Linked DNA regions of Mus musculus. The protein of the gene in region 2 interacts with the protein of the main gene of each other region in a pairwise test. Links are inferred from orthologs where the notes say so. Each region holds a gene or a part of one and is shown on either strand. Other genes may lie near its edges.

Region 1 (6,556 bases), on a different chromosome or scaffold from region 2:
GGCCTTAGAGAGCAGCATGCTGAGCAGGAGCCTCGGTGCGCATTAGTAGTCCTTCTGCTTTCACTCTAGACAGAGGAGCAGTCATGGTGGTGGCTCCGATGCAGACCACAGTATCCCTCTGCATGAGGGGTTGTGTCATGATTGCTGCAAACATCCTTGCCTCACATCTGGCTGCTCACTTCCGGACTCACCTGGACACGCCCTCATTGTGCTGCTCCGGGTGTTCCGTGTTATAACATGAGGCTCATTAAAAGACGGTTAAAGTGGCCTTTTCTTTCCTGCTTTTGATCGTTAGTGTTAGGAGACCAGACTGAGCTATCAGCACAAGGAAGAAGAGATGGTAAAACTGGCACACTGGTAGCAGCTTCCATCCTGACAGTAGCAGTTGAAGCCCCAAGAGGGCAACAGAAGGTCCCAGAGAGTAAGTAACCAAAGTGGAAACACTGGAGTAGAGGCAGCGGAAGTTATGAGAACTAGATGCTGAAGAGTTTCAGGAAGCTTCCGGGCCTTAAGCGATACTACTAGCCATTGTAGGAATGGAGTGTCACAACTGTAGTCCAGCAGATGTTGTCTTCTGGTGGCACTCACAGCTGCTGGACGAGGGGCATTACAGTATCTGGCAAATGCTTGCCAAATGGATGCTAATAGCATCTGACCTGAGCACCCAGAGCCATGCGTCACTAGCGTCTAAATCAGGAGGCCTAAGTCCCTACCTCTCAGTGTCTGGAACTGTCATCATCTAACGTGCTAGTCCAGGCCTTGGACACTCAAGGGCCTGGGAACTTCTACTCATGATTTCTATCCAGCTAGAGCAAACTGACCCCAGTCAGCTGACAACATAAGGATCAATAGCGAAACATAAGGATCAATAGCGAAAATGGCAGATCTGAAAGGCATCGTTCCTTATGCCTGTAATCTCAGAACTCAGAAGGCCAAAACAGCAAGATTGCCCTGAGTTCCAGGACAGCTGTTTGGGAACTCTGGTCCCTTACTTCTCAAAAAAAAAAAAAAGGGGGGGTGGGGGGGTTTGTAGGTAATCAGCCTCTCCACATTCAAAACAGTAATGTTTGTTTGGCTTTTACCTCTGCTCATTTGTCCTACTATAGTATTTTTCCAGGTATAAGAAACCCAGACATGGGCTGGTGAGATGGCTCAGTGGTTAAGAGCACTGACTGCTCTTCCAAAGGTCCTGAGTTCAAATCCCAGCAACCACATGGTGGCAAACAACCACCCGTAATGAGATCTGATGCCCTCTTCTGGTGTGTCTGAAGTATACTTATGTATAATAATAATACAGTATACTTATGTATAATAATAAATAAATCTTTAAAAAAACCAGATATTTTCAGATTAATACTTTCTGCTCTCTCTTTCCATCTCTACCCTCAGTGGCAAAGTACACTTAATTACAAGAATTGCTTAGGGCTGGCGGGATGGCTCAGTGATTAAGAGCACCAACTGCTCTTCTGAAGGTCCTGAGTTCAAATCCCAGCAACCACATGGTGGCTCACAACCATCCGTAATGAGATCTGACGCCCTCTTCTGGTGTGTCTGAAGACAGCTACAGTGTACTTACATATAATAAATAAATAAATCTTAAAAAAAAAAGAAAAATAGGAATAAAAGTGAGAGAAAGAGAAAATGAAATGTTCATCTAACTTCTATTCTTTTTTCTAGCTATATGTATGTCACATACATATATGCATAAATATAAATACATATATAGACTACAGTTTAGTTTTATCTCATACATACGGTTTCCTGTATTAAATGCAAATTTTATGGTTGCTAGGTAGATTTATCATATAGGATCACAGTCTGTATTCTCACCCTACTGACAGATGTGAGATTTTTACTCCTATGAGGTCAACCATAATAAAGTGCTGCCTTTCACATTGCTGGGCTTTGCCTTTGATCTGAGCCAATGCCCAGACACTATTCCCAGTTCACCTCACTAGAGTGTGATGTCAGTAAACTTTCCAGACACTATATGGTCTACAAACATAAGCAAAGGGCCACACTTGTGAATAGAGTCGATAATAACGTAAGGTCTTCACTAAAGAGTTTTCCTTTTAATTTATTATTATTATTGTTGTTGTTGTTTCAAGTCAGGATTTTCTGTGAAGCTCTCGCTGCCCTGGATTCACTCTGTAGACCAGGCTGGCCTCAAACTCAGAGATCTGACCGCCTCTACTTCCCGGGTGCTGAGATTAAAAGCATACACCACCACTACCTGGCCTTTTTTTTTTTTTGTTTTTGTCCATATTTCTTAATAGCATGTTTGTAGTGCTATATTACACTATCCTCCCACTTTCGAGACCCCATAACCTGCCTGCCGTTCAGCACCAGCACTAGGTCAGCTAACGCACTGGGAGGAATGACATTACATTTACCTAATGTATTTTTACCTGATATACTTTTCCTACTAGAGATTTGTTCCCCACAACACCGAAGGGAATACTGAGGTCCCGATTCATGTCCTCACCAATGCAAGGCGACCCTACTTACCCTTGAAGAAGTACAGGAAGTGCACATCTGAACAGCAGTGAGGGGGTGGTTTCCATCCTACTGCACTGCACAGAGGAGCTTAGGTCGACTTTGAGGCGAGGTGGAGCCTGACGCTGCAGGAAACGGCGATAGCCATAGCCTACAGGAATAACCATGGGGTGAACTCAGAGGCAGGGGGCTCAGCCCGCACGCATCCGGTTGTGGGCAGGAAGCGGGGCTGAGCGCGGGGAGTGCGGTCCTAAGGCAGCTCGCCCGGTCCAAGGGCCCACCTAGGCGCCCCGAGGATCGTTCCCAAGGCAACAGAAGGCTCTCAATTTGCGCTTGCGCAGCCTCTCGCCCCGCCCCGGCCGGGATGACGAGGGGCGGGGCCAGGGGGCTGGCCTCTCCGGAACCTGGAGTTGTAGGGAGATCCTAGGGTGGAAGTGTTAGCCGAGTTCTGTTCGGGTCATCGGGAAAGGTGAGCGCGCGCTCAGCGTGCTCAGATTCCTTCGGTGACCGCAGCTTGCCCCGAGCGCCCCTTTCGGGCGTCGGGCTCCGGCGTCCTGGCTGCCGGCGCTGTGGCCTGGCTGCTCCTTTGGGCAGCCTGGCTGGTCGGCAGGCTCGCCGCGGACTTCAGCGACGCCCCTTTCAGCGCTGGTAAAGGTCAGGGGGCTGAGCGAGTGTGTGCGGAGCTGGGGCGGAGGTGGGGAGCACCCGCGGCGCCTGGGGTACCCGAGGCCGGAGGAAGTTAGCAACAAAGGCCCTGTGCGCCCTTCCCTCCTTGTGATCTTTGCTGGGGGTCCCATCCCGGGCTTCAGAGCCGGGCTTTGTCTTTCCAAGGCGGGACTGGCCACGCTGTGACCCAAGTACGAAACAAGTACAGCAAGCCACGAAGTATCTTGGGGTGCTTATGGTTCCCCTGAAGATGCCTTGTGCTGCCTGAGAGGCAGTGAACCCTCGGCATCCAGCGAAGTGTGAGAATGCCCAAACAGCATGTATGGGAGAAGGGGTGAGGTGATGTGTTGTGTGACATACTTCCCAGGGACACACGCACGCACGCACACACGCACAACCTGCTCACTCCAGAAAGGTAACCTTTGTACCAGTGTCCAGTTTGGTAAACCAATGATTTTTTTTTTTTAATTGGGGCTACTATTAGAAATATGGGTGAGGGGCTACTTACTAGAAGCAAGGATAACTCAAAAGAAGCTGCATCAGTAGAAAGATAAAATGGGTGAGTCCTGAAAACTGCAACCCTGGAGCTCACTAAGCGACTTCCAGACAGCTCTTCAGTCCTAACACTAGTTTCCCCCCTCCCATCTCTTTTTCTCTGCAGTTTGCCCCCAGCAACTGTTGACTCGCTTTTATATTGTAGGACCCTCAAGCGTCTCCCAACTGCTTATTCTCCTGGCTTCATGTTGCTGAGTAACAGGTTTATCAGTGATTCACACTCTTATTTTAATGTTCTTCCCACACATTTCTTGCCAGTGTTTTAGAGCAGGGTACCTGGCTACTGAACCTTTAGGGTTTGTTTGTTTCTTAATATTTGATACTTGAGAAATGGTCTTTCTTGGAACTTGGTATGTAGACCAAACTGAGTGCTGGAACCAAAGGTGGTGCCATCTCACCAGTCTTGAACTTTTAGTCACTGAGTAATAATAGTTTTAGTGAATCATTTTATGAAGATTTCTGCTTATTCCAAGTGTGTAAGTGAACTCACTGAATCTTCATGTGCCCCTCATTTTCTTGCCTTTTTTTTTTTAAAAAAAAAGCCTCTCCCAACATCTTCACAAAGTATCAGTGTACAATCTTCCCAGACTTGTAGACACGGGCATAAGAATACAGAAGTTGCTGTGTTGCTGTATCACGTATCAGACATGATTTAGTGAGCCAGAATAGTGTCTTAAGATCACATGAACAAGCCGGGAGTGGTGGCGCACGCCTTTAATCCCAGCACTCTGGAGGCAGAGGCAGGCGGATTTCTGAGTTCAAGGCCAGTCTGGTCTACAGAGTGAGTTCCAGAACATCCAGGGCTACACAGAGAAACCCTGTATTAAAAAAAAAAAAAAAAATCACATGAACAAAATCCTTTGTGTATGGAGCACTTTTTTGACTGCTTCTACATGTATTAAATGCCTGGGACAGCCACAGAGAGGCCTGGTCTACTTCAGAGGCACAGCTATTACATCATGGAAAGCTGACAAGCCGACTCCAGTGGCAGAGATTCTCAGCCTCACTGATGTACTGCCAGAAGTAGATCTCTATGGAGCTCAACCTGCGTACATTTAAATTTTTTAAATATTTTTTATTAGGTATTTTCCTCATTTACATTTCCAATGCTATCCCAAAAGTCCCCCATACCCTCCCCCCCACTCCCTTACCCACCCACTCTCACTTTTTGGCACTGGCGTTCCCCTGTACTGAGGCATATAAAGTTTGCACGACCAATGGGCCTCTCTTTCCACTGATGGCCGACTAGGCCATCTTTTGATACATATGCAGCTAGAGACAAGAGCTCCGGGGGGTACTGGCTAGTTCATATTGTTGTTCCACCTATAGGGTTGCAGATCCCTTTAGCTCCTTGGGTACTATCTCTAGCTCCTCCATTGGGGGCCCTGTGATCCATCCAATAGCTAACTGTGAGCATCCACTTCTGTGTTTGCTAGGCCCCGACATAGCCTCACAAGAGACAGCTATATCTGGGTCCTTTCAGCAAAATCTTGCTAGTGTATGCAATGGTTTCAGCGTTTGGAGGCTGATTATGGGATGGATCCCTGGATATGGCAGTCTCTAGATGGTCCATCCTTTTGTCTCTGCTCCAAACTTTGTCTCTGTAACTCCTTCCATGGGTGTTTTGTTTCCAATTGTAAGAAGGGGCAAAATGTCTACACTTTGGTCTTTGTTCTTCTTGAGTTTCATGTGTTTTGTAAACATTTAAATTTTTTACCTTGCGCTGTTAGGTGGTTAGACTTTTCTAGCAAGTAAAGCCGACTAGAGTAGTTATTTTCTAACTATTTAAGATTTCTCTCCCTGTGTGTATTTTCATTTGTAATGTCTTGATTTTTATAGGTGTAAGGGCCACTTGTTCTGAAATTATTTTAAGGCAAGAATTTTTGAAAGATGGTTTCCACAGGTAGGTTGCCCACTGATTTCTACTTATATTAAACAACTGCCTAATAATTATGGATAAACTGAACATTTGTTTCCTTTTTTTCTTTTTTTTTTTTTTTGCTTGTTTGTTTTGAGACGAGGTCTCATATAGCCCAGACTGGCCTCAAACTTGCCATGTAGCTTGGGATAACCTCAAACTCTTGATCCTCCTCTCATTCACCCCAGGGCTGAATTACAGATGTACGCCACTGAGCCTGGCTTTCTTAAAGTTACAGAGTAACAGATTTGTCATATGTGGTTCATATATTGAAGTGATTAAATGATTAAAATAATGGTGGATTAATAATTGCTTACTGTGTACATATATATGTGTAATTTTACTTTTAAGAAATGAAAGACGAGCCTACAGTGGTGGCCACGCCTTTAACCCGAGCACTTTGGAGGCAGAGGCAGGCGGATCTCTGAGTTCGAGGCCAGCCTGGTTTATGAGTGTGGTTTATTTTCCATTTAAGTAGTTACTAGATTGTGTGCTATTACTTCGAGTTTACTGCTTCTATTTCTTCTTTGATACCAGTCTTTTTCCTCCTCCTCTTCCTCCTCTTCCTCCTCTTCTCTCCCTCTTAAAGATTTATTTATTTATTTATTTATTAAGATTTATTTATTTCATTTATATGAGTACCCTGTAGCTGTCTTCAGACACTCCAGAAGAGGGCATCAGATCCCATTACAGATGGATGTGAGTCATCATGTAGTTGCTGGGATTTGAACTCAGGACCTCTGGAAGAGCAGTCAGTGCTCTTGAATACTGAGCCATCTCTCCAGCCCTAGTCTTTCTTCTTTCCGTGCTCCAGCTTCACACTTTGCTCTCACTGGCTCTGACTCCTTGGTCTCTCATGATTCAGTCTTTAATTGCTTTTAATTAGGCATTCAGAAATTTTACTGTACATCTTTTGAAGTT
Region 2 (8,297 bases):
ACTATTACATGTGGAGGTCAGAAGATGACTTTCAACATTTCTCTCTATCTCTATCTTTAAGAATTATTTATTATACTGTAGCTATCTTCAGACACATCAGAAGAGGGCACCAGATCCCATTACAGATGGTTGTGAGCCGCCATGTGGGTGCTGGCAATTGAACTCAGGACCTCTGGAGGAGCAGTCAGCGCTCTTAACCACTACTGAGCCATCTCTCCAGCCCTCAGCATCTCTCTTGATGTCTCTGCTATGCTAGCTGGCCTGTGAGGGTCAGGGCAATTGACCATCTTGACACAGAAATGCTGCATGTCAGGCTATAGAGATGGCTCAGCGGTTAAGGTGCACTGACTGCTCTTCCAGAGGTCCTGAGTTCAATTCCCAGTCAACCACATGGTGGCTCACAACCATCTGTGATAGGGATCGGATGCCCTCTTCTGGTGCGTCTGAAGACAGCGACAGTGGACTCACATGCATGAAATAAATAAATAAACCTTGAAAAAGAAGAAAAAGAAAAGAAACGCTGCACACCATCTCATCCTCCTTCTCCAAACGGCGCTGGGGATTGCGCTCAGATTACTAGGTTTCTTTAACAAGTGCTTTAACTTGATGGGGCATCTCGCCAGCCTCTTCTGTTGTGATAAGGTCTCCTACAGCTAAAACTGACTCCTAAACTGGGTATGTAGCTAAGGATGATCCTGCACACCTGATAGTTCTGCCTCTGGCTCCAAGTTGATTATGAGTATATGCTACCATGCTCCACTTTATGCCATGCGGGGTATCAAACCCAGCACCTCTGCAGTTTTGTTTTCATTTTGCTATGATGCATGTGTTAAGTTCAAGGGAATGTGCCATTTTGAATTCCTCTCTAGGCTCCGGTGAGCATCACTGAGTCCCATTTCTGAATCTTGGCTTCAACCTAGAATAAGTTTCCTTTTTCTACCTGGTCCCCATCCTTTTATTATTTATTTATTATATGTAAGTACACTGTAGCTGTCTTCAGAGACACCAGAAGAGAACATCATATCTCATTACAGATGGTTGTGAGCCACCATGGGGTTGCTGGGATTTGAACTCAGGACCTCTGGAAAAGTAGTCAGTGCTCTTAACTGCTGAGCCATGCTGGGCAGTGGTGGTGCACACCTTTAATCCCAGCACTCTGGAGGCAGAGGCAGGCAGATTTCTGAGTTCGAGGCCAGCCTGGTCTACAGCCAGGGCGATACAGAGAAACCCTGTCTTGAACCCACCCCACCCCCCCAAAAAAACCTGCTGAGCCATCTCTCCAGCCCCCACCCCATCCCCATCTTGACAAACTAACCCAATCAAATATATCCTTCAGTATCTGTATTTACCCTTTTAGTGAGACATATGGAACATCCGGCATAACACTAACACATACTTGTTGAATGATGGGGCTTCCCGTTGCCACGTGCCTTCACTGAGCACATAAGAGCTCAGTGAATATTTATCCCCTGACTAACACTGCTTCTTACAACAACAGAATTTAAAGCCACATTAATACAGTGCTGACTACTGGAACTTGAACCCTGATTCTGCCACTTAGCTGGATTAACCTCACGAATTACTCAGCTGTCTGAGTGTTGCTCTCATTACACGTAAAATGGGGATGATAATAGGGCATACGTTATGGCTGTTTAAAAACGCTGTAAGCATCCCAAACATGGAAGTTGTTATTACCTTAGCTCTATTTGAGACTGAGATTTTTACAAGCTTTCATTCTGAATGCAGACAAAATAAACATTTGAGACTTGAGTCTTTGGACAGGCTTCACTCGTAGCTAACCCAGGACCTTGAACTATCTCCCCATCCAGCAGCTTGTGCCCTAACTCATAAATCCTGACTAATGACACAGACATGTCATCTTAATGTTTGTGCAGCCCAGTGACTTAATGCTTGGAGATCTTCAAATGAAAGGCACCCAAGGACAGCATCAAATACCCTATTCAATCTTAAAAGGAAAAAAAAAAAAAAAACTACCAAAAAAAAAAAAAAAGTAAAAGAAGAGGCGCCGCCAGAACCTACTGCCACAGATAATTAGAATGGACCCAACCAGGAGAGGACAGCTGTCTTTCCGGCATAACTATTTATTTGTGAGACAGGGTCTCCTGTGTAGCCTGAGTCAGAATCGAAATCTCCAGGATCTCCCTGCCTCTGCCTCTTCAATTGCTAGGGTTATAGGTGTGTAGCATTACATCTCACTTAATCCTTTAATATTGAGAAAGGGGGGGGGGGTTGAACTCTTCCAGGGTTGGAGGCCACCCACAACGATGAGGACGGTTCAAGTCCTTAAGTGACTGCGGTGTGGGAACAGTGTGACTCTTTCGCCTATCAAAACAAAACAAAACAAACAAACAAACAAAAAACAACCCTATAGCAACAATTGTATTGTTGCTCTAATTAATTTAAGCCAGTTAAAAGGCTTGGGCAAACAAGCCTCTCTAAGTAGCTTGTTGTGAGCTGTGGCAGTCCTGCCAAGCTCTCTCTTCAACCGCATGCTTTTCATTCCACAGCCTAGCCACCATTTCAAGCTATGTCCCCTAATCCTAGCCCCAGAAGCCACTCCAGGGGGAGCACGTGCAGGTGTGGTATGTGTGTGTGTGTGTGTGTGTGTGTGTGTGTGTGTGTGTGTGTGTTATCGGACCCCTTGGCATGGAAATCTTCTCAAGCTGGAACCAAACAGTAAGCTTTGAGACTTTTACAAGCTCTGTCAACCCTGAAGTCAGAACAAGCTAAAAATAAATAACCACTACCACCCCTGTGAGTTTCCCCACCCACAACATGGTGGCTGTAGCTCGTAGCTTGGGAGAGGCCTGGCAGAGTTCTACAGTTTCATAGCCCTGACCCTAGAGGATTCCTTAGACAAGTTTTTTCTTTTGTAAGTAGATATAACACTACAGCCTATCTTGTAAAAGCGAACAAGAAGGCTGTGCTGGAAGCGTTCCGCCCCACCGAAAAGAGCTGTGCAGAACGCGTTAAAGCCGTCAACTCTCCCACTAAGCATGCTACGAACCAGCAGCCTCCACTAGATCAGCCTGCCCTTTCTTAAGGAATCATGGGCCGTGAAGTCCTTTGGAAGACACACCCTCCTGAACTGCCTCGGGAGTAAGAACTACATCTCCCGGGATGCCACGCTGAGTCCATCACCGCCCCGCCCTCTTCCCCGCCCCTCGCGCGCAGCCTCCTGGGACATGTAGTTCCACAGGTAGAAAAGTAGACAGTGTCGAGTCATAGAAGAACCACAAGCCCCAGAAGCTCTCGCGTCACTCTTCCCCTCCCCTCCTATAGTCGGAGTGCTGTTTTTGTTGTTGGTGAAAGGTGAGGGGAACAGCTGATCCGTCCGTGGGGTAAGAAACTTGGCCTAACTGAGGGTGGGCTTACGCGGGGGTGGTCAGCCCGCTTCTCAGCCTGCGAAAGGCTAATCCGAGAGAACTGTAGAAGAGGACGGTAGGAGCGTTTAGGTTTTAATACTTTACGCACTAAGGAAGCCTCCCCCACGTTTCGGTTTTGTTGGTTTCAAGGGGGGCCTTGAGGAGTAGCCCGCATTGTCCTCACTTTCTTGCGGGGCCTCCTCAGTAAAGCTCGATCCGATTATGGAAGCTTGAAGGGACTGAAATATTTGCTTAATCTTTTCCAGGCAAGTCTTTGCCCTCACAGACCTTCTCTCTCTTACCCAAATCCAAAGATCCAAAGGCCTTTACTACGCTGAATCCCTGAGGGGAAAACTTCCAACTTGTGGAACGCCAAAACGCTGAGAGCCCTACAGTGGAGAGGGGACACACACACACACGCACACACAGAGAGGGAGAGAGAGAGAGAATGCATTTGAACATCAGCATCTGACCACATACACTTTCAGTTCTGAAGAATATCTGCAGCTGTTACAGATTGTCTTTGTGGGAAAGGAGGGGTTTGGGGTTCTCAACGGGTAGAACTTTAGAGACAGATCTCACTCTAACCTAAGAAGACTTATATTGAAGAAAACACGGAGTAGCTGTAATGAGAGATTTTTCATAGATGAAAAAAAAAAAGCCGACAAAGAAACTGTTTCCTATTGCATTGCTGGCCCACCTTTCCTTCTCCATGGAGTGTTTAATTTCTTTTAAAGTTCCTCCCCCACTGTCTCAGCCTGGTGTGGGTTTGTGATGTTTGGGGGTGTGCATATGACTAGTGGTGATGTCTGATTGGACACATCAGCTGCACCTGACACAGGAAGCAGATGTGTGGGCTAGAGAAAAGGGCTGCCTCCCCGCTCTGGACTGAGGTGTATTTTTTTTTTAAGTTAATATACAGTGAGTTTCATTTCAAACATGTACACCATCCATACTTTGTTCTTATTCATCTCTGAGTACTACTCTGTTTTAACTTTTTTTTTTTTACTTCTGTGTGTGTGTGTCTGTCTGTCTGTGTCTGTGTGAAGATAGGTGTACAGAAGTCTGAGCACAGCTTGGGGATATCAGTTCTCTTCTCCCAACCTTGAGTTGGTGGCAAGCACCTCTACCCACCCAACTATTCTACCCCCTGAACTCTTGATTGTTGTTGTTGCTATTATTATTATTATTATCTATTTTCCAATTAGTTCTCCCTAGCTAACTCCATTTTATCTGCTTATCTCCTGCCATTAACCCAAACATATGTCAAGATTTGGACTCTTAGAATTGAGGCTAAGAGGAGCCAACAAGAAAATGGGTATAGGGTACTGGAGCTGGGCTAACACCCAAACAAATCATTAGCTTTCTAGCTCTGCTCCCGTCAAGATGGGGGTGGGGGGGGGGAGAATGTTTCTCGTTGATCTCTGCCTTTTCTCAACGCCGAATGTATATTTCCCCTTCTCAGGGCCCCTGACTTACCCTATTTCTAACCTGTTTCCCTGCCTAAGGGCGGGGCTTTCCTGGCTCCAGGCCCCCACATTCCATCTCTGCACACCACCACCTTCCTACTGAATATTTCACTCCACCCTTGAACTGCCACCTCCAGAAGTTTTGATTTCCTGGAATAGAAGTTGAAGGACAGAACCTGTCTTTCCTATTATCCTCCCCTTCTCTAGCCTTGGAGGAAAGCCAAAGCTCGCCTTCTTCTGCTTCCCTAGAGTTGATCGAGATAGGCAACTCACGGATCGGTGCCCCCAAGAGCAGGTGCTCCAAGAGCAGAGGACCCAGGATTAGGTTGTTGATCCCCCAAACCGTAGTCCCCTCTGAAGACCCATCATCGTGATTGGTAAAGAAGGTTGAACAAGCTTAGGCATATGTAAGCAAGACCTGCTTAAACTGAGAGAGGCCCACACTTCCATTGGATTTTGAATTTTAGAGCCAGACATTATAGGGGGTCAGTTACATCGGGAAACCAAAAGAATCTGGAATTCCCAAGGATGTTGAGAGATGAAAGGGAGAGACAGAGATGGGCAGAGACCGAGATGCTGGGTCAGTGGGGCAATGAAAAGGATTAGAAATTAGACAGGTGAGGGCCTGTAAGCCAAAGAGGATACAACATGACAGGGTAGGAAGTTGACTTGGAAGACCTATGGCCCAGGAATTAAAAGTGATACCTTAAAAAGGTCCCACAACCTTGGGGGCCTGGAAACCTGTTTAGTGACAGGGACTGTGGGTTAGGCACACAGGGGTCAAAGGAAAGAAGCAATGGAAAAACAAGTCTATCAACCCTTTCTTTCATAGGACATCAGCCATCTTGAGGACAGCATGGAAGAGTCATCACTAAGCCGGGCACCATCCCGGGGTGGAGTCAACTTCCTGAATGTGGCCCGCACCTACATCCCCAACACCAAGGTGGAATGTCACTACACTTTGCCTCCGGGTACCATGCCCAGTGCCAGTGACTGGATTGGCATTTTTAAGGTATCCCTAGACCCTCTTCTAGCTCAAGATTATGGGACACAGGTTGGTTAGACTATGAGGAGTGGCTAAGTCCTTACATTCTCAGGTTGATAGGGGGAAAGATGACACAGAGGCAGTCAGTATAAAGTTCATCTTTGCCCATCTCTCTCCTGGTAGTATAATGTCCTCCAACCTTACCTGACTCTATTATTATTATTATTTATTTATAATAAGTACACTGTAGCTGACTTCAGACGTACCAGAAGAGAATATCAGGTCTCATTACGGGTGGTTGTGAACCACCATGTGGTTGCTGGGATTTGAACTCAGGACCTTTGGAAGAGCAGTCAGTGCTCTTACCTGCTGAGCCATCTCGCCAGCCCCTTACCTGAGTCTTAGCATCCTTGGTACCATTTGTTCAGTCCTGCCCTTGCCCACCCTTCTATTTCTCACCGATAACTCTGTCATCCTGCCTTTCTCTTCTAGGTGGAAGCTGCCTGCGTTCGAGATTATCACACGTTCGTGTGGTCCTCAGTGCCAGAAAGTACAACTGATGGCTCCCCCACCCATGCCAGTGTCCAATTCCAAGGTATAAAGAAAGATGGAATGCCGGGTAGTGGTGGCACACACCTTTAATCCCAGCACTTGGGAGGCAGAGGCAGGTGGATCTCTGAGTTCGAGGCCAGCCTGGTCTACAGAGTGAGTTCCAGGACAGTCAGGGCTACACAGAGAAATCCTGTCTCAAAAAGCCAAAAAATAAAAATAAATAAATAAAAAATAAAAAAAATAAAGATGGAGAAGCCAAAAAAGTGGTGGTTTGGGGGAAGGCGGAGGGCTAACAGCCATAAAAAGCACAGAGGATAAGGAATATGAGAGCACATAACTCCTAATTGCCACGCCTAATGGTACTCCAATGTCATCCCAGCTACCAAGGAGGCTAGGGCTGGAAGATAACGTGAACCCAGGATATCAATGCTGGCTTAGGCAACATGGCTGACCCCGTCTCCAAAAGGGGGAAAAAAAAAAGACTTTGTGAGACTGTGTCCAACAGAGTTCAGCAAGTTATCGTAGGGTCGGCACCGGTAACTTAGAGGATACTGTAGAAAGATAGAGGATGTTAATCCCATTCATTTACACAACGAAAGAGGAACTCCCAGTATAGGACAAGGGAAAGTGTGTGCTAATAGCAGTCTGAGCGACCTGGATTCAAATCTCAGCTCCCTGCTTTACAAGCTGTTTGGCATTGAGCAGGTAAGTTAGAATAGGGTCCCAGCTTGTAGGATCCCTACAGAGATTTTTACATGACCTGGGGAATGCTGAATGTGTGGTGTGTGGTGCATGCCAGCAGACAGTCAGTGCCAGCTAGAGTCAATGTGATGAAGAGGAAGACCGGGTATGAATAAAGCAGGTGTCTAGACAGGAAGGAGGAAGGACCGTATCCCAAGGACCGCCACAAGGGAGTGGACAGTAGGTAGCATGGGGATACTCGTCCTCCTCAATAGGAACAGGAACCTGTTAGCACTTGAGAGCCAGAGATCATACTGGGTTTCTGGGCTATTCTTCCCACAGCCAGCTACCTGCCCAAACCAGGAGCCCAACTCTACCAGTTCCGGTATGTGAACCGCCAGGGCCGGGTGTGTGGGCAGAGCCCCCCCTTCCAGTTCCGAGAGCCAAGGCCCATGGATGAGCTGGTGACCCTGGAGGAGGCTGATGGAGGCTCTGACATCCTGTTGGTTGTCCCTAAGGCCACCGTGCTTCAGGTAAGAAAAAAAAAAATTGCAGACTTGTTCCAGGGCCAGGGACACCAAGGACAGCATTGCGAGAGCCAGCCTTTTCAAAGGGTGGCTGCCTGCCCTAAATCCTACAGGAGAGCCACAAGGTGGAGGAAAACTGCCTCAAGCAACCCAGGGAGGAAAGAGTGTGGGCACAGCAGGGCTCGAAACTGTCCCATTCAGTACCAAAGGTGCTGACCACATAGGGCTCTTTGGCACTTCAGGTATGACTAATCCAGTTTGAGGTATAATCACAGGAAAGATAGCATACTGGATTTCAAACACTTTGTATCTCAACATTTATTTATTTAGTTGTGTTTATCTGGGTATGTGTAGATATGTATATACGTAAGTGCTTGCATGCCACAACTCGTGTGGAGTCAGAAATCAGCTTGAGGGAGTTGGTCCTCTCGTCCTTTTCAGCGTTGGTTTCAAGGATCCAGGGACCAAGCTCAAGTTTCCAGGCTTGGCAATAAGTATTTTATCTCATCAGCCATCTTGCTGGCCTAGCCGTGGTACTTTTAACTTCAATCCCTCAATTACCTTCCCCAGCCCAGGTGTGTGTGCGTACGTGTGGATACAGAGGCCAGAAGGTTGTGTGTCATAGGATACTCTGGAGCTGGAGTTACCGGTGGTTGTGAGCCACTTGATGTAGCTGCTGGGAACTAACCTCTGGTCC
Region 3 (6,685 bases), on a different chromosome or scaffold from region 2:
GCAGGTGCTGGGACCCAAACCCAGACCCTTTGCGAGAGCAGTCAGTGCTCTTAACTGCTGAGCCATTGCCTTAACCACAAGGTAAATTTTAAATATTTTTTGCTCTAACTTTAGAAGGCTGGCAAAAGGCATATCTGAAGTATTTAAGGCAAAACTAGAAAGAAAAATAAATGCTGCTTTTGAATTGGGTGCAAATGGTGGTCATATCAAATGAAATAGCACAGACCCAGAACATAGCATGCATTTGCTAATCTGAGTAGCTCCTAGGTTTTATATAGCTATATAGCTACATAAAATCACATATGTACTACATACATATGACACTAAAGCTGAAGCAAGATTATCTGGTGGAAGGAACCAAACTAGTGAGTGAGAAAGAGAAAAAAGGAGGGCATGTGGGGGGGTGGGGGTGGGCACAGCAGTACACGACTTGAATTCTAGCTCTGCAGGCAGAGGAAGGTGGGTCTCTGTAAGGTCAAGGCTAACCTAGTCTTCCTAGACAATTACAAGTTAGCTGCAGTGAGACCCAGTCTCAAATTTAAAAGAAATTGGGGGGGGGGGCGCTGGAGAGATGGCTCAGCATTTAAGAGCACTGACTGCTCTTCCAAAGGTCCTGAGTTCAAAGCCCAGCAACCACATGGTGGCTCACAACCATCTGTAATGAGATCTGATGCCCTCTTCTGAGGTGTCTGAAGACAGCTACAGTGTACTTACATATAATAAACAAATAAATCTTAAAAAAAAAAGAAAGAAAGAAAATGGGGGAGAGAATAGGGAGGTGAATAAGATCAAATACACAGTAAAGCTTGAAAAATCTGCTAAACCCATCCCAATATACAATGAATATACACCAATAGAAATGAGAGATGCATGGTAGCATACACTTAGAAGGCAGAAGCAGGAGGATCTTTATGAGTTTGAGGCCAGCCTATTCTACCTAGTGAGTTCCAGGACATCCAGTGGGACTGAGTCAATGAGGACGATGATGGTTTCAGGTAGGCTAGGTTCACAGCTCAATTTGCAGAGCGCCTGCCTAGTACGTGCAAAGCCCTGGGTGTGATCACCAGCATAAAACAGGCATGGTGGCAATGCACACTTGTAAAACCAGCTCTTTGGAGGTGAAGGCTGGAGGATCAGAAACTCAAGGTATCCTCAGCTACATAGGGAATTCGAGCCAACCAGGGGTACAAAAGAAAAGAAGAGAAGAGAGAGAGCTTTGTCTCTTGAAGTGTGGTTTATCCACTAAAACAGGTCACTTCTAGGATACAAGGAATTCTCTATTCCATGGCCTGAAAGATGAAACTGTATGTTTCCAAACAAACATGAGAAAGGCAAATGCAGGCAGCGGTGAGAAGCACTGTGGGCCATCTGGAGGAGGCTTATCCTGGTACTCCCACCCATCAGCCACCCTAAACCCCTACATGGGTCTTACTTACGCATCTCCCAAGAAAAGGTTGGGCCAGACCTCATTGATGTGGGTCAGTGTGGCAGTCCGACGGACCCACAGCAATCGCTGCAGAGAGGCCAGTGTGGGTGGCTGGTAGGGGGACACCTGGACTGCCCCATGAATCTTTGGCCTCCGAAGTTCCTGCTTCTGTAGCGAGTCCATTCTGGGAACAGAGTAAACAGGACAGTAGCTGGAACAGGCTCCCCAAGCGTGGGTCCAGTGGACAGGGAGACCTGTGTTGCAGTACCAGGAGCCAGTGGGATGCTGTGGGGGCCAGCCTCAGCTATGCTGAATGAGGCTATTACCCGGCTCAGCTGGCCTGGAACCTAGAACCTTTTCCCTGGGAACAAGGAGAACTAGAACTCTCTTGTCAATTCCATGGCGCTAAGCGTACCTTTCCTGAGGCAACGGATGTTAGAAATGTTGGTCTTAGGGACCGTGGGGAATCTCTGTAGGGCTAATCTGTGCAGACCGTACCCCTTTAGTCACTGGAAACCCCAGCTGGCGGAGGCTCTTGGAGAGGACCTAGGATGTCCCTCCAAAGCCAGGCAGCTCATCTGTAGCTCCCACCCTGGCTGTTTCTAAGGCTGATGCTAGAGGAGGTCAAAGCACTGTCCAGGGTTACAGTCCAGCCACAAGTGGGCATTAGTCAGCTTGTTCACACCAAGTGAGCTGGTGTCGCTCATAAGCAGGCTGTATCCCTTGTGCTGTGTTCCATGTTTCACACTGACACCAATGACAAATGACAAATGGCTAAAGACTACCCTGAGCTTGATATCCAGTGTGTGCCTTCAGTTCATTCCCCAAGCCTTCCAGTTGCCAGAGGGTGGTCACCAACTGATGTGTCTCCTCTAGGGAGCTGTCAGGGATGAGCTACACATCCACTTACAGGCCCCGGGCTTTTTTCCTCCTTACCCTTGTGGTTCAGGCCAGTACACCTGTACAGGCCTCACCCGGAAGGAGTGGGTTATGTCTGGAGTCATCTGGCTTAGTCCATCTGGGCCCTTGCAGAGCTGAGGTGTCAGAGGCACCAGAACCTGAGCCTGGTACCTTAGAGGGAAGGGGAACCTACCTTGGTCAACTACCCCTGGTCCCCTCAAAGAGTAACTCGAGTAGGTACAGACTGGGTAGAATGCCTTTTCCCTCTGGCAGGCACTGCCAAAACCAGAAAAAGAGATGGGCACCCAGGAGGCCACTGGCTTGGCCACACTCACCCAGCCAGTGGATGATGAGCTGGGTGGAAGAGAGGGCCGGCCTTTCTCCCTCATCCCCCTCTGTGACCTCTCTGGCAGGCTGAGTGGCCTGCCACCTACCTAGGGCATGGTCTGGGGCCAGGAATGGGGGACTAGGTGCAGGGGCAGGCTGAGTGGAACAGTCCTAAAGCAGGTTCCATCCAGAACACAAATGCTGTTATGCGCCTAGAATTCCAGGTCCATGCATGTGAGCCAATGGGGATGTGGGGCAAGATGAAGACAGACCTGAGCTGCGGGGACAGGAGCAGTGGCCTAACATCTCTCCCTGGTGTCTCTGCTATTGAAAACACTTGTCCTGAAGATGGGGACCACCTGAAGAGATGCCTAGGGAACAGACTCCCCTTAAAATTTGACAAGGATATATCCTGGGACCTAGGCAAGTTTTCATTCCTATCTGGGCCTTAGTTTCTTTTCTCTGCTCTCTGGTATTCTGCTGGCTGCAAGAGAAGGGAATGACGCTATATGAAGTAACACCAGGGAAAGGAATATTAGGGTGGAGGATCTCTGAATCCAGGGAAGTCCAATAGCCACTCTGGCCTGAGGCCACCAGCTAGACTCCTCCAGCTATGAGTGGAACTAGACAGGGATTTCGGGAAACCGTAGGCCCCTCACAGGCCTGCTCAATTTGGCATGGGGTAAGTCTGCCCTCTAGTGGCCAGTGGCTGCTAGGCAGCCCAACTGTGTCCCAGGAGCTCGGTGGTGGGGATTAGGGGATGTCCTTAACTTCCCTGGTCTAACTCAGACCTGTAGGAAAGATTTTTCTTAGACTTAGGGTTTCCTGGTCAGGTCCTACTTAGGGCTATATGTAGCCCAGCTATCTGCTCTGGTCCACTGAGGGTTCCTTTCACCTATCAGAGCCAGGCCCAGCAGCTCACTCAGTGAGCCATTCCTTAAGCTTTAGGCACCCCCCCCAAAAGAAAGCCCAGGGATTCTGCTACCCCCTGGTGTAGGGAGGGCCCAGCTATGTCAGAAGGAGCCATGGCTGAATGTCTTGTAGGATCAGGCCCCTGTTCACATTCATGATAGTCCTCCCGTGGCTCTCTAGTGCTACCTGGCTTCTACTTCCCTGAAACTTCAGCAGAGAAGTTGCTTCTGTCAACAGTGGCTTTCTTGCCCACACTGCCTCTGTATACAGAGCTACACATACTTACCTTTTGTTGGCACTAGTAGCATCTCTAGCTTGCTCTCTGTTGTCTGTCTTTCAGTTTGTCCCAGGATAGCCTTCTAGAATACCACCCTGCATACCTCGGGCCTTGCTCAGCAGCCTGGGACGTGGCAGCTGTTTGCCACCTACCTCTTTAGCTGTAACCTCAGAACACATTTCTCCTGGTCTCCTCTGCTGTTCCCTCTCTGTCTCCCCTCTTCTCTTAGGGAGCACAGACCAAGTGGGGCTAGCGTTCTCACAGAAGGACATCGAGGTGTCTGGGAAAGAGACTTTGGCAGGTAAATGCCAAGGGCAGACTGCAGTGGTCTCTGCCCAGCCTGCATCCCTGGAGGGAGACAGACCTGTGTGGGAGTCTGTGAGCCTGAGTCTTCACCAGGAGCTGCTGGGAGACTCTCATGACATCATAAGTGAGATGCACCTCCCAGAGGCCCTGCATCAGGGCAGGTGCCACATAAATGAGGCATCACGTTATGGACATTGCTCCAATCAGTCTCATCCTTTCGGGGCTCAGCCAAGACCTATAGAGGGTAGATTGCTATGGCCTGTGGAGTTTTCACCTGGATCTCTGTGTTTCGTAATTATATTCCCAGCTTGAGGAAGTACGTTACAGACCAGACAGAGCCCAGGACTCGTGTCTTCACGCTGAGTCCACCCTGTTCTCTCACGAAGCAGGCAGTATCAACATCCCCACTTTCCAGATGAGAAAAATCAAGCCTCAGAGAGATAAAAGCAGTTTGCCCAAGGTCACACGGTGGCGAGAGGCAGGGTTCTGTGCCTCTACCTCTGACCCATTTGGAGTCCCCCAACCCAGTCCTCACAGTTGCCCACACAAGCAGGCATAGATGCCCTGGGCCCCAGTACCCAGTATTCTCAGGGGTCTCTGCTTAGGGTCGTTCACCCACCTGTGGGGAGATCCTGACCGGGCTGTAGTCTTCTCCGACCCACAGCTTGTGCCGCTGGATTCTAGCCGCCTGGCTCCGCACACCTGATGCTGTTTCTATTTTTTTATTTGAGTTTAATTATAAAGCATGCTGTCGTCTCCCTTTTGCCTTTCCTTGCCACTCCCAACTTGTCCATTGGTCCCATGGCCTGGTCAGCCCTAGGCTCAGCCAGGTACTTCCTCCTTAAACCCAGGCTGTGCAACTGTACCCAGCAACCCCATGGCTGAGGCCCAAACCTATCCTCACCCTTTCTCCTTGTACATGTATCCTTAATGTTCAGGATACAGGAAGCTCAGAGGGTTGCCTGCGGTGTGTGGGATGAGTGTATTTGGGTAGCTGGGTGGGGAAAAGGAAAAGCAAGCAAACCACCTTAAAAATTCCCCTTAGAGCCTGAATGGTGGCGTACACCTTTAATCTCATCACTCAGGAGGCAGAGGCAGGGGCAGAGACAGGCAGACCTCTGAGTTCAAGGCCAGCCTGGTCTACATAGTGAGTTCTAGGCCAGCCAGATGTTTTAGACAGTCACAGTAAGACTTTGTCTAAAACACAATACAACAAAACAGAAAACCACCTCTCTAGGACTGGGTGGTGGTGTTCAATGGTAGTGCACTTATCTAGTGTGGTTGAGACCCTGAGTACCATTCCAGCTTGCCCCAAATACCTCCCAACCCCCAAATCCCTTGGCTTTCAGAGGTTACTCAAAACTAGGGCAGAGATAAAGAGCTGATGGGATCTATGCTGGAAGACACAGATGAGACTATGTCAAAGCACATACTAGAAGGACATCAGAGCATAGGTCTAGGAGCCTCTATTTCAGGGTGAGAAGTGCAAGCTCACCATCTGGCAGGTTCCGGTCAGGCACAGACAGACAGACAGACAGACAGAGCATAGACAGACACAGCTGTCAAGGGACTATGGAGCAGGTCTGTGCACTCAGTGGCTTTTATCCAGGAGCAGCTCTCCCTCCACTGCCCTCTGTCTCTCCCTCAAAGACAGGTGCCCCAGGGGTCTGCCTAGTGAGAGGCCACTGGATTTGAGATTAAAAAGTATCCTTTTTAATCCAGATGCTCTAATCATATACCCATACAATAATGCTCTCTAGCACTACCAGATACACACACACACACACCCTCAGCCTTATGTCCACTGAACTCCTTGAGCCTCAGGGAGAGCCGGGGAGAACACTGAGAACCATTCTCCCTGACCCTATCAGAGGACTTGGGGACCCTGTCACAAGAGCCTCAAAGACTAGTTGACAGACAGCCCACTCCCACCTGTGGAAACTGAAGACAGTGGCTGAGAGGGCACGTGGAATGCTGGAGGAGGCTGTTGGAGTGGCGGGTTCGACGGTGAGCGCCACGCTGGGCCCTTTTCATCTTCTGGGCGTCCACTTGGGCTAAGGCTGCCATCAGGGCCAGGGCAAGAGTAGCAAACTGGCAGAGCCTGGCGGCAGAGCGGAAGGACTGGCTCTGGAGGAGAGAGAACCTTCACACTACAGGCAGGTAAATGAAGGCCTAGGCTGGCTGGCACTTTAGGACAGGAGCAAGGGCTGTTACCTAACCCTGTATCTGTCACCTCTCCGTTCTCTGCCAGGCTGAATGGGTACACGTACAAGGAGAAACTGTGAGGGTTGGCTTGCTATCCCTGGCTTATGGAGAGAGATAACCCCACTTCACAGCCCCCTCACTTCAGGGCCTCAGCCATGGGGTTGCTGGGTACAGTTGCACAGCCTGTGTACTGCAAATCTCTGAGGGCCCTCATGACACGGACGATTCTGTGGATATCATGACAAATTGTGCAATGTTGCAGCCCTGCTCAACCCACTTCCCCCAAAGCAGCTGTCTGATGGGCAAGACACTGAGGTCAGAAGTCAGGGTGT

What was found.
Region 1: the proteins of Calcoco1 (region 2) and Cep19 interact in binary tests that used the Homo sapiens proteins (3 or more experiments, as listed by UniProt). The two-hybrid records come from large-scale screens. The link is inferred for Mus musculus from reciprocal best matches to the Homo sapiens genes CALCOCO1 and CEP19.
Region 3: the proteins of Calcoco1 (region 2) and Dusp13 interact in binary tests that used the Homo sapiens proteins (3 or more experiments, as listed by UniProt). The two-hybrid records come from large-scale screens. The link is inferred for Mus musculus from reciprocal best matches to the Homo sapiens genes CALCOCO1 and DUSP13B.

Annotation. Positions count from the first base shown.
Region 1 is NC_000082.6:32,096,064-32,102,619, reverse strand, and holds the start of Cep19 (centrosomal protein of 19 kDa), read right to left. Parts: upstream 2,832-6,556; 5' UTR 2,509-2,831; intron 1-2,508. Other genes in the region: Pigx (phosphatidylinositol-glycan biosynthesis class X protein isoform 1 precursor), read left to right, coding at 3,051-3,150, 5,557-5,620. UniProt on the Homo sapiens protein: Required for ciliation. Recruits the RABL2B GTPase to the ciliary base to initiate ciliation.
Region 2 is NC_000081.6:102,717,112-102,725,408, reverse strand, and holds the start of Calcoco1 (calcium-binding and coiled-coil domain-containing protein 1), read left to right. Parts: upstream 1-3,230; 5' UTR 3,231-3,362; intron 3,363-5,687; 5' UTR 5,688-5,711; coding exon 5,712-5,867; intron 5,868-6,332; coding exon 6,333-6,435; intron 6,436-7,415; coding exon 7,416-7,606; intron 7,607-8,297. UniProt on the Homo sapiens protein: Functions as a coactivator for aryl hydrocarbon and nuclear receptors (NR). Recruited to promoters through its contact with the N-terminal basic helix-loop-helix-Per-Arnt-Sim (PAS) domain of transcription factors or coactivators, such as NCOA2.
Region 3 is NC_000080.6:21,738,668-21,745,352, forward strand, and holds the start of Dusp13 (dual specificity protein phosphatase 13), read right to left. Parts: upstream 2,832-6,685; 5' UTR 2,716-2,831; coding exon 2,363-2,715; intron 1,776-2,362; exon of another isoform or gene 1,611-1,775; coding exon 1,437-1,610; intron 1-1,436. UniProt on the Homo sapiens protein: Dual specificity phosphatase that dephosphorylates MAPK8/JNK and MAPK14/p38, but not MAPK1/ERK2, in vitro. Exhibits intrinsic phosphatase activity towards both phospho-seryl/threonyl and -tyrosyl residues, with similar specific activities in vitro.